Arabidopsis thaliana: one gene and its partner. The protein of the gene in region 1 interacts with the protein of each later gene in a pairwise test. Each region holds a gene or a part of one and is shown on either strand. Other genes may lie near its edges.

What was found.
Region 2: the proteins of AT1G66500 (region 1) and PCFS4 interact in a two-hybrid assay, tested with the Arabidopsis thaliana proteins (one study listed by BioGRID).

Annotation. Positions count from the first base shown.
Region 1 is NC_003070.9:24,810,563-24,814,231, reverse strand, and holds AT1G66500 (Pre-mRNA cleavage complex II), read left to right. Parts: upstream 1-1,570; 5' UTR 1,571-1,719; coding exon 1,720-2,970; 3' UTR 2,971-3,152; downstream 3,153-3,669. Other genes in the region: AT1G66510 (AAR2 protein family), read right to left, coding at 1-12, 131-260, 458-517, 692-749, 864-946, 1,256-1,351.
Region 2 is NC_003075.7:2,469,859-2,476,543, reverse strand, and holds PCFS4 (PCF11P-similar protein 4), read right to left. Parts: upstream 4,679-6,685; 5' UTR 4,462-4,678; coding exon 4,129-4,461; intron 3,967-4,128; coding exon 3,865-3,966; intron 3,776-3,864; coding exon 3,536-3,775; intron 3,080-3,535; coding exon 1,889-3,079; intron 1,808-1,888; coding exon 1,292-1,807; intron 1,172-1,291; coding exon 1,127-1,171; 3' UTR 519-1,126; downstream 1-518.

The sequences.
Region 1 (3,669 bases):
CTCCAACTGGCTCTGCAAAATTGAACATAAAATTTTTGAACAAGCCAAACTTTACAGTGTTCACTACTCGAGTGAGGGAAAACATTAACAATGTGGTTAAAGAATCCTCCAAATTATAAGGTTCACATACCAAACTTTTCAACAACATCCTTTGTAATGTAGTTAGATAAGTGCCTCCACTCCCCATATTGCTTTAAATTGTATGGGCCAAGATTTTTGTCAAACTCTAAAGACCTGACTGCTTGAGAATATCTCTCTTCCTAGCAACAAAAGAGCAGAATAAATATAAATAAGCCAGCACTAATTCTCAAGCCTACTAACTAATGGCTCATGCAACATGATTTGATTATATTCCTATCTAGCAGGCATTGAACAAATATCACAAAGAGGCAAATCGCTGACCAACATATACGCAACATTGAGAAAATTACTGCACTAGGTTATTAAAAGGACATACCTCTTCTTCAGACACTTTGGTTAACCACTCGTCTTGCTGATTCCATTTGCGTACAATAACCTTGTATATTCAACAAAAGATAGTAAATATATATCTACTTACAATATATACAGTTTCATGGTGCTACTAACAGGATATCACAGAGAGACAAGAACATTACTAAATGTTTTCTCTGTAATAGCGATCTATATAGATAACTACAAACACAAACTATTCAAAGTTGTGATTCCAAACCTGAGAAGGGGCAACATCAACAAAGAAGCCAATGGTGGGTGAAAACTCTCTACCATCCCTGAAGATAAGAAAATGAAAGTCTGCATTATCAGCCAAAGCATATCGATAACCATGGTACGGTTTTTAATGAGTACGACATCACAAATTTAAAAAACCATTTAAAGACTTAAACCTTGTCGATGAACTATAGAATACAAAGTGAATTCCAGGAGGTATCATCTTAATCCCTTTGAAAGCTGGTCCAACTGCGAATATCTGTAACCACAATACAAAACATTGTCGTTATAGGCCAATGAATATGCTCAAGAAATATGTTTCACAATCATACAGAAATCAAAATCCATAGCCAATAAAGAATCTTCAAAAGCTCAAAAACCTCAAATTTTAATCATATTCAAACTCAAAATACACTTTCTTCTCGAGATATTTACTAAACCAAAAAGAAACTATACAAGGAGAATCAGTTCCACATTAAAAAGCTTTAAACTTGGAATAAAGTAACAAACTTTGAAACTGAGAAAAGTTGAAATTCGATAAAAGCTTTAAACTTAGAAGTAGACAAACCTGAGTATCGATTCCGACCAGTGTATATTGAGGAACATCGAGAAATAGAAGTGTAGCTCCATGCTTCACAAGCTCTAGTGCCTTCTCAGAATCCATAGCTTCCTTCTTCTTCGTCTTCACTAATTTAGCGTCGAATTCAATAAAGAACAGCAAAATACAGAGCGGAACAACGAGTAGATTCCAGAAGGCCCAATTTAACAGGCCCATTAACAAACTGGGCCTATAAACCGTGGCCCAAAACACGTGACAACGCGCGATTCACGCGGTTTACTTTATCAACCGACATAAACGTTTATTTATAGAGAAACCTATCTTCGCGTCTCTTCAGATTCGTTTTATTTTTCAATCGTTTCAATTTCTAAAATTCTCCTCTCTCAACGCAATCACCAAATCCAAATTTAGGGTTTCTTTTCTCTTTCTGCGATCGATCTCTGAAAACTCATAACTGTTGTTTAATCGTGAAGATGGCATCAAACGGATCTTTCTCTGCTCAGAGAAACGCAAACGCTAGAACAACGATGAAGAGAAGAAGCGACAATCGCGGTTACGGTGGCGGAATCGGAGGTTATCAAGAGGAGACGAACCGTTACGCGCCGCCGCAAAAACGTTTCAGATCACAAGCGCAACAGCAATTCCGATCTGGTCATAATCCTCTGTATCATCATCATGGTAGTAATAATAATAACGTGTCTAGGGTTTCTTCTCAATCATATAACAATTGCGGTGTTGATGTGATTGCTTCTAATTCAAGTTTTGCATTACGTAACAATGATTCTAACACCAACAATTATCAGAAACCCTTTGTTGCTGGTTATGGAAACCCTAATCCCCAAATTGTTCCTCTTCCATTACCTTATCGTAAGCTTGATGACAATCTCTCTTTAGATTCGTTACCTGATTGGGTTCCGAATTCAAGAACCCTAACTCCGAATTATCCTGTTAGGTCATCGAATTTTGTACCAAACACTCCTGTTTTTACGAATGTTCAAAATCCGATGAATCATTCGAACATGGTTTCAGTTGTGTCTCAATCTATGCATCAACCAATTGTTTTGAGCAAAGAATTGACTGATTTGCTTAGTCTTCTTAACAATGAGAAAGAGAAGAAAACTTTAGAAGCAAGTAATAGTGATTCTTTGCCTGTTGGATTAAGCTTTGATAATCCATCGTCACTTAATGTTCGACATGAATCTGTGATTAAGTCTCTGTATTCTGATATGCCGAGACAATGTTCATCGTGTGGGTTGAGATTCAAGTGTCAAGAAGAGCATAGTAAACACATGGATTGGCATGTAAGGAAGAACAGGTCGGTGAAAACCACTACAAGACTGGGTCAGCAACCGAAGAAATCGAGGGGATGGTTAGCAAGTGCATCTTTATGGCTTTGTGCAGCGACGGGAGGAGAGACGGTAGAAGTAGCATCTTTTGGAGGAGAAATGCAGAAGAAGAAAGGAAAGGACGAAGAACCAAAACAACTCATGGTGCCTGCGGATGAAGATCAGAAGAATTGCGCATTATGCGTAGAGCCGTTTGAAGAGTTCTTTAGCCATGAAGATGATGATTGGATGTATAAAGATGCAGTCTACTTAACCAAGAATGGTCGTATAGTTCATGTTAAGTGTATGCCTGAACCCCGACCTGCTAAGGATTTGAGAGAGCCTTCGAGGGTAATGTCTGTTACAGTTCCATCGGTTGCGAAAGCTATAGCCTGCTGATTGAGATTTTTAAGATCTCTGTTTTAGTCATTCGTTTTTTTAAGTAATGTACTTTACTTGAACAAGTTGTAACACAAATACAGTTCTATCAATTGAATCTCCTATTTTACTCTTATCGCCTCTTTACTCTTATGTGTCATTTAATGAATATTCATGCTTCTATATCTCTGTTTTAATCGTCGTTTAGTGTTGAAAAATCATCAAAAAAGTTGTAACTATATTAATCAGAAAAGATTAACGAAATGCTTTAGTTTACACTTAATAACAGAGACAAACGTGAAGCTCGTCTTCTTTTGATTCTCCTTAGGGTTTCTTACTTCGAGAAGAAGACAGAGTAATTCTCACAAACTTGTTTTGCTAATAAACGTTATAAAGCTTTTCAAAATCCTTTTTCAACCCTAATAGTTGATGAGAAATCGAAAAACAAACGAAGAACAATGATAATTCTGTTATTTCACATAAAGTCTCAAATGACAAATACAATGAAACACTCTATTTAAAGTAGAGTGTTTCGGTTTAACCAGGGAAATCACACTTGATTACCTGTTTACATAAACCAGACTCTCTATACCACTAAACCGAAATAAGGAAACCTTGAAACCTAATCGTCCCATGAATGTGCAATTAGCTTTTTCCCTAATTCCTTTGTGTATCTATATATATGTATGGACATTATCATTCTAATGAGATAACACATTC
Region 2 (6,685 bases), on another chromosome or scaffold:
CTAGTTTCTGTTAGCTCTCTCTTATCCCATTCAACCAACGGTCCAATTTTCTAACAAAGGCAAAATAAAAGGGCAATGATGTGTGTTCTTAACCTGATCTTTTGTTCTAGCTTAGTTCATATTGCATATTGCAAGCTGTTTTCTTATATTCATACTATAATAGACTATTTTCACAATGTATATAACAAACATGAATTTTACTCCAGCCATTACATCTATTGATCATCACATACTCTTGTTTAGAGACTAACGGTTGAGACAAAGCCAGATTTGAACTGAGTTTGCTCTGCAGTCCTATAAGGTACTACCAGAACTAAATCATAACCTTTAAATCTTTATAATTCCATATTTCAAATGTAACAGTCATGAAAAAACTCTAGTTTGATCGAGCAAAAAGCCAAGTAAGTTCGAAAGCTTTAACTATCGTTCAATCTACTTCGACATAAATCCGGCTCTGTATCATGTAGGTATGAAGATACAAGTAGTGGAAATTTCAAAAGCAAAAGGTTCAGATAGAAGAAAAGTAAAACTTGTTTCATTATAGACAAAGTCAAGAGAACAAATACGCTTAAAGAGAGTTATGTTAACTAACATTTTTAGCTAACAGCCTAACATAGAAAGGTAAAACTCAGACAGGGAAAGCTCTAAAGAAGAAACCTGAAACTGGTTCTCTTAGCAACAGCATCTATGAGATCCATTCATCATAAGAAATCTGTTCACATTCGAATATCAGTCTTCTCGGGCTTTCCCTGCAATATCTAAAGATGAAAAAGAAAAAGACAATCCGAAACAGAGACATTGTATTCCATTTACATGGGGAAACTACTGTTGCGACATCTGATTTTACTACTACAAGCACCCCAGGTTAGGTGTAGCAGAGAATGCAGAACAGTTACACGATATCCATGTCCTAAGGCACAACAGGAATTTAGAGGCATAAAGAATGATAATATATGTGGGTGTAAACCTCTTTTTTTCAATGGTACAGTTTTAGGAGAAAGAAGACTCTCTCCATCATTTCTCTTCATTGGTGGTATTCTGTGACTAAGTGCATATAGATGATGAAGAAATAAGAATGTAACTTAAATGTAGTCAAGAAAAAGACCTAAAATTCGGTCTAAGGGATCTAACTCCGCATCTTTTTCCTCTGACTACCCTCTTCCATATCACCCTGAAAAAGCCATGATCGGGAAATCAAGAGGTCGTCACTGGATAAATGTCTAGCAGCGAAAATGAAAATGGATTCAACTAGACACAAATGAAGCTAATGAAAATGCATGGAATGGCTTACCCCATTGGACTCTGGCCTGCACTTTGCATGCACTATAGGACCTAACTGAGACTTGTCCATATCTGTTGTTGATTCTTCAGGAGCATTCATGTATACCGCACCTTTGTACATCCATTCCTCGGTTTCATCACTATAAAAGTCTTCAAATGGCTCACCACATAATGCACATGAAGTTTGGTCTTCATCTGCAGGAACTGCCATATCTTCGTCATCCTTCTTTTCTGTTGTTGGCTCCGTGGGCAAGAACCCTGGTACTGCTTCAGCTCCAAGTGCTTCTGCACCACTGAGCCACATGCTAGCACTTACAAACCATTTCCGAGAAGGGTTCTGCTTATGGTTCTTGGACATCCTGTTCTTGGTTACATGCCAATCCATGTGCTTACTGTGCTCTTCTTGGCACTTGAAGCGTAGACCACAGGTTGTGCATTGCCTCGGGAGATCCCCATATAAAGCACTGATTGCAGACTCATTACGTATCTTGAGCATGTCTGCATCAAACTCCAACCCCAATGGTCCCTGAATATATAAACCAACAATTCAAGATAAAGCAATAACTAAGAACAAACCGACTCTCAAGGACATGATTTGAATAATTACCTGACCAGCAGGCTGATTGTTCAATGAGATCAAACCTTGAGCCATGAGAGAGCCAATCAGACCAGAGAATGCGCCACCTGGTGGTTGATTAGAGGCTCCTATCTGAGATAAAACTCCTGAAGAAAGAGGATGCATGGCTTCCCCACCTTGGATTGATAAAGATGGTCTAATGGTTGACCCATGTGGAGGGTACCCATGACTTACGTGGGTTAACAACGATTGCATTGGCCTTGGAGCCATAGCAGATGAGGATGGCAAATAATTAACTAGCATCTGATTCTGTTGAGTCATATCATTAAGATGACTCTGAGAGACCTGGTTTTCGGGCCTATATAAAGGCTTACCTTGCAAGCGATTTGACATCGCATTACCGGGATTTGCCAAATGATGCAAATGAGCAGAAGGTACAGGGAGAGAGTTGGGTCCTCTAGCACTCAAATGGGGCCATGTCCCATCAGGAAGAGCCCGGCCAAAACGTGAGTTAACATCTTGAATGCTATCAAATGGAGGAGCCCCGAATTCACTGTTTGATGAAACTAACCCTACAGATGAAGCCAATACTTTCAAGTCTTTTCCTGCTCTTGTATCAACACGGTTGGATGTATGTGGATAATTTTGTGACAAACTCCAATTTTCTCGTAGCTGATGACTTACACCATTCTTAATGTCAGAATCTAAATGAAAATCACTTGTGTTTCCTACTCTGGGTCTTGCCCTTACACTTCCTAATGCTGGTACAGATGATCGCAAAAATTCACCAGCTCTGCTACGATCTAGGGTAGGGCTCATATCTTCCCAATCAAACTCTTCTTCCTCAGTGTTCTGCCATGGTGTAACCATCTTACTGTGCATGCCATTCATATCGCGAATTGGTTTATTGATCGTTACGTGTTTGCTGGTGTCAACTCCATATGCATCTATCAACGCTCTAGGTCTTTCGTGATCATTTCCTTGGCCTAAGTTTTCCTTTCTTCGCCATTCCATATGTTCATCATCTCTGCTAGTAGCTCGACCCATTCCATAGTTAAAAGCTTGATTAGAAGGATTAGCTCCATCATTAGACCTCCTGGTAAAACCATCTGGTGTACTAGACAGTGAAGATGGGCTCTCTAACTGATCTTCGAAATCATTATACCCACCGAGTGAATTTTGGCCATAAACTCTTGCACTGGAATTAATTCCTCTCAAATTCTGCATGTCAAGCAAGAGCAATTAAGGAAATATGCATCTCAGGTATAGTCACTCTTTGAAAAAAAACATATAAAAACAGTTCCAAACGACACATGATGCATAAACAGTGATCTACTGTACTATAACCAAAAAAAAACCCTCTACATGTGCTAACAAGATCATTTCTAATGTACCAGAGTCCCAGTGACCTACTCATCATGTATAACTGAGAGAGGCCATAACAACAACTCCCTTCCAGTCAAGATTGATTACTTGAAGAATGTAAACATCTATCTCGTCTAACTAACAAAACTTTAAAGAAATACAATGGATAAGACCACTATGAGGCCAAACTAATCTAATACCCGTTTTACTTAGTACACTTATATAAAATTAACACACCATAGCTTCAAGGTTGCAGATGCACCTAAAAAAAGAATGTCATCTCTGTTCATAATGACAAAGAGAAAGGCTTACATTTTCGGCGGCTGAGGGCTCCAGCCTGCGAAGATATTTTGGATTAACATGTATACCTCTCGTTGGTTGACTAGGCTCAGAAGCCCCTACGGAAGATTGGTTTGCTGCAGATGAAAGTTGCAATTGCATATCAATCTTGCGTAGTACAGGTGGTGGAAAAACACTCGACCAAGTCCCAAACAGGTGACGCATTGACGGATGTAAACTCGGATGTGCTTGCCTATATGCAAGGCAGAAGACCTAAAGCAGAATAGGATCAAAACAGCTCATGGGTATGCTTCAGCCCTATTCAAATCATTTAAGTAAACATCTTCTTGTAGACTGCTCACCTCGGGTAGACGGGATGAGAAATAGCGACCATAATCCCGCCCAATGTTCTTAACAATGCTGTCTAAAAGATACAGAGATGGCAACTTTTGCTCAACAGGAGCCTGCATATATACACCCACAGGTAACTCAGAAGCAGCCATTTCACTAAACCACAAACCAAACACTAATCTCTGACAATCAAAAACCTAATTTTTTTCCCACTTCTACACTTACATACTATACAATAAGGCTAGAAAGTGGAAACAAATAAGAAGAAAGCAAACCTCAAGGATTCGAGTGCAAATAGCATTAGCGATTCCTTCACCATGTTCCCGTTGTTCACCAGCGATAATAGTGAGATCAGTGATAATAGGCTTAGAATTGAAAGTAAGCTCACCCAAAACAACCTCATAAAGCTGAACAATCTCATCCATACTCGGAGGCAAAACCTCTTCACCACCACCGAACTCATCTTCACGCTGATTAAGCAAAGCTTTAAACCGGTCTAACAACGACGGCGGTGGCGGCGGTTTCTGCGGCAACTCAACGGACATACCTTTGCGGCTGGTGCTATTAATCGAAACAAGTCTTGGATTGAGGATTTTCTCTGAGTCCATCCCCAATTCAATAGTGAAGAGTGATAATTAGTGGCAGCATAAAGGCTCTAGGGTTTCTGTTCCACCATGGAAACTCCTCGAATCGCCACCCTTGTGGGGGAAGAGAGAGATAGAGATCGATAACGGAAGTTTTTTTTTTTTTAGTGAAGAGGATTTTTTTTTCTTCTCAATTTTGTATCTCTACTTTATGCAAATCTCATTTTTGTCCCTTTTTTTTTAGAGTTATCAACTACATCCCAATTATTGTTTTTACCCGTTTTGAGTCACACAGATTTTTGACTTTTACTATGACCTCATCAATTAATCACGTTGCAATTCTCTTCTTTCCCTTATTTGAAAAGTTTGATCTTGCCTCTTGGTGACACTAAATTTAGTTTTGAGGAACTATTTCATTTCTTAGCTTATTTATCTATCTTGATAAAGTTTGAATCTATCTTGTTTTGATTCTACTCATGGACTATGAATGATTTTTTTTTTGGTAGACAATTAGATTTTATATTATTTTTGATTTTTGACAGAAATACAGAGATTAGCAAGAAGCGGATTAAAACAATCTACAAAAATAAATACAACATTACAACTCTAATTCATTCAGTTCGCTTTTATGCGTTCAAGGCTAAGTTACGAGTTGAAACACCGATTTTGAACTCGTGAAACTCGGAAATTTGTGTGGTTGTCACATGACCGAAAAAGTGGAATTCTCATGGTAGTTGCCACGAGCATATCTTCGAGAACTTGATTCAAATTGATACAGTTAAAAACACCACCATCAAACCACGTCCTTGTTACGTTTCTTTAAGTTATATTAAAAAAATGTTGGATTAGTTGTATAAAATCCTATAAGGGTTTGAGTTTATTATTACATAATTATAATTATATAGCTTCCTATTTTATAAGTTTAAATTTAATATTTGTTAGTTCCTTTGTTTTTACATTTTAAAATATAAAGTAATTGCTATTTTCAAAAATGTTAATTAATTAGATGCTAAATATGTTAATTATTGATGTGGCAGCTCCCGATTGGTTGTTTTCAAAAATGTTAATTAATTAGATACTAAATATGTTAATTATTTATGTGGCAACTCCCGATTAGTCGTTCTAAATCCTAGGTTATGAATCCACGCTACGCATGGGTCTATTTGTAAAACTTTTTAATATTTTTTTGTGTGAATAAAATTATTATAGAAATTTTTTAAAAGATATGTTTTTATATGTCTACTTGTTGTTAATATTATAAACTCTTTGAATTTTAAAATTACCATGACAATAGTTACAATTTAAATACAAAACTAAAAATAACTTTAATACAACTTTTAGGTTTACAACATTTATCAAAAGAACATTTTTTTGGCTCATGACTCTCTCTTTAGCTTTAGATATTTAGGATCACGACGTCTTTTTATGTATGAAATAAATTGTTTTATGGAAAATAACTTCGACGACTTTCTCATTTTGAAATCCGTAAATTTACTATTCTTTTTTGTTTATCTTCGCTGCATTAGTTAGTATAGCTCGTCTAAAAATAAGATATTATATAGAAGTATATTCATAAGCTTATCTATACTTTACTTTAACAACTCATATTTTCTCACATTCTTTTCAATATGTATATGAATTTCTGTCTTCACAATTTTTTTACAAAGAGCTATCACTCTCCCTATCTTTTTGCAAGCACTCGTTTTATTTGTTTCATTTTTTCTTACAGTGTCTCTTTCCATCCTCTTATGATTTTGTTTAAGCAATATGTGTCATACCTTCTAAACTTTTCACATGTTCCATATTTTTTCTTCGAAAATCTCTTTCTTCTCTAGTTAGTACTAGGGCGAAACCCGAACCAAATCGCGGGCTTTTTTTATTAAAAAATGTAATTTTGTTAAGTTGTATGTAGGTATTGAATGTTATTTGTCATGATTCATGATATATGTAGAACAAAAGAATTCATTAGAAAGTGATTAAGAGCTCAATGCATTTGTTAATTTTTTAAAGTAAGATCTATATAGCTTTTATAAGTTTTGGAAGCTAATTTTTTTGTATTACGAACATCTTTTTAGAAGAGTCATTAAAAAACAAAAGTGAAAAGAGTTAAAAATCACCAGGTGCTGATTCTGGTGAGGTTAAAGTCATTGAAGATTCTTAAGAATATGTTATATGGAGTTATCATATTTGATTTTGATGTTCCATATGCATATTTGATTCATACGTTGAAGAAGTATAAAAAAACTAA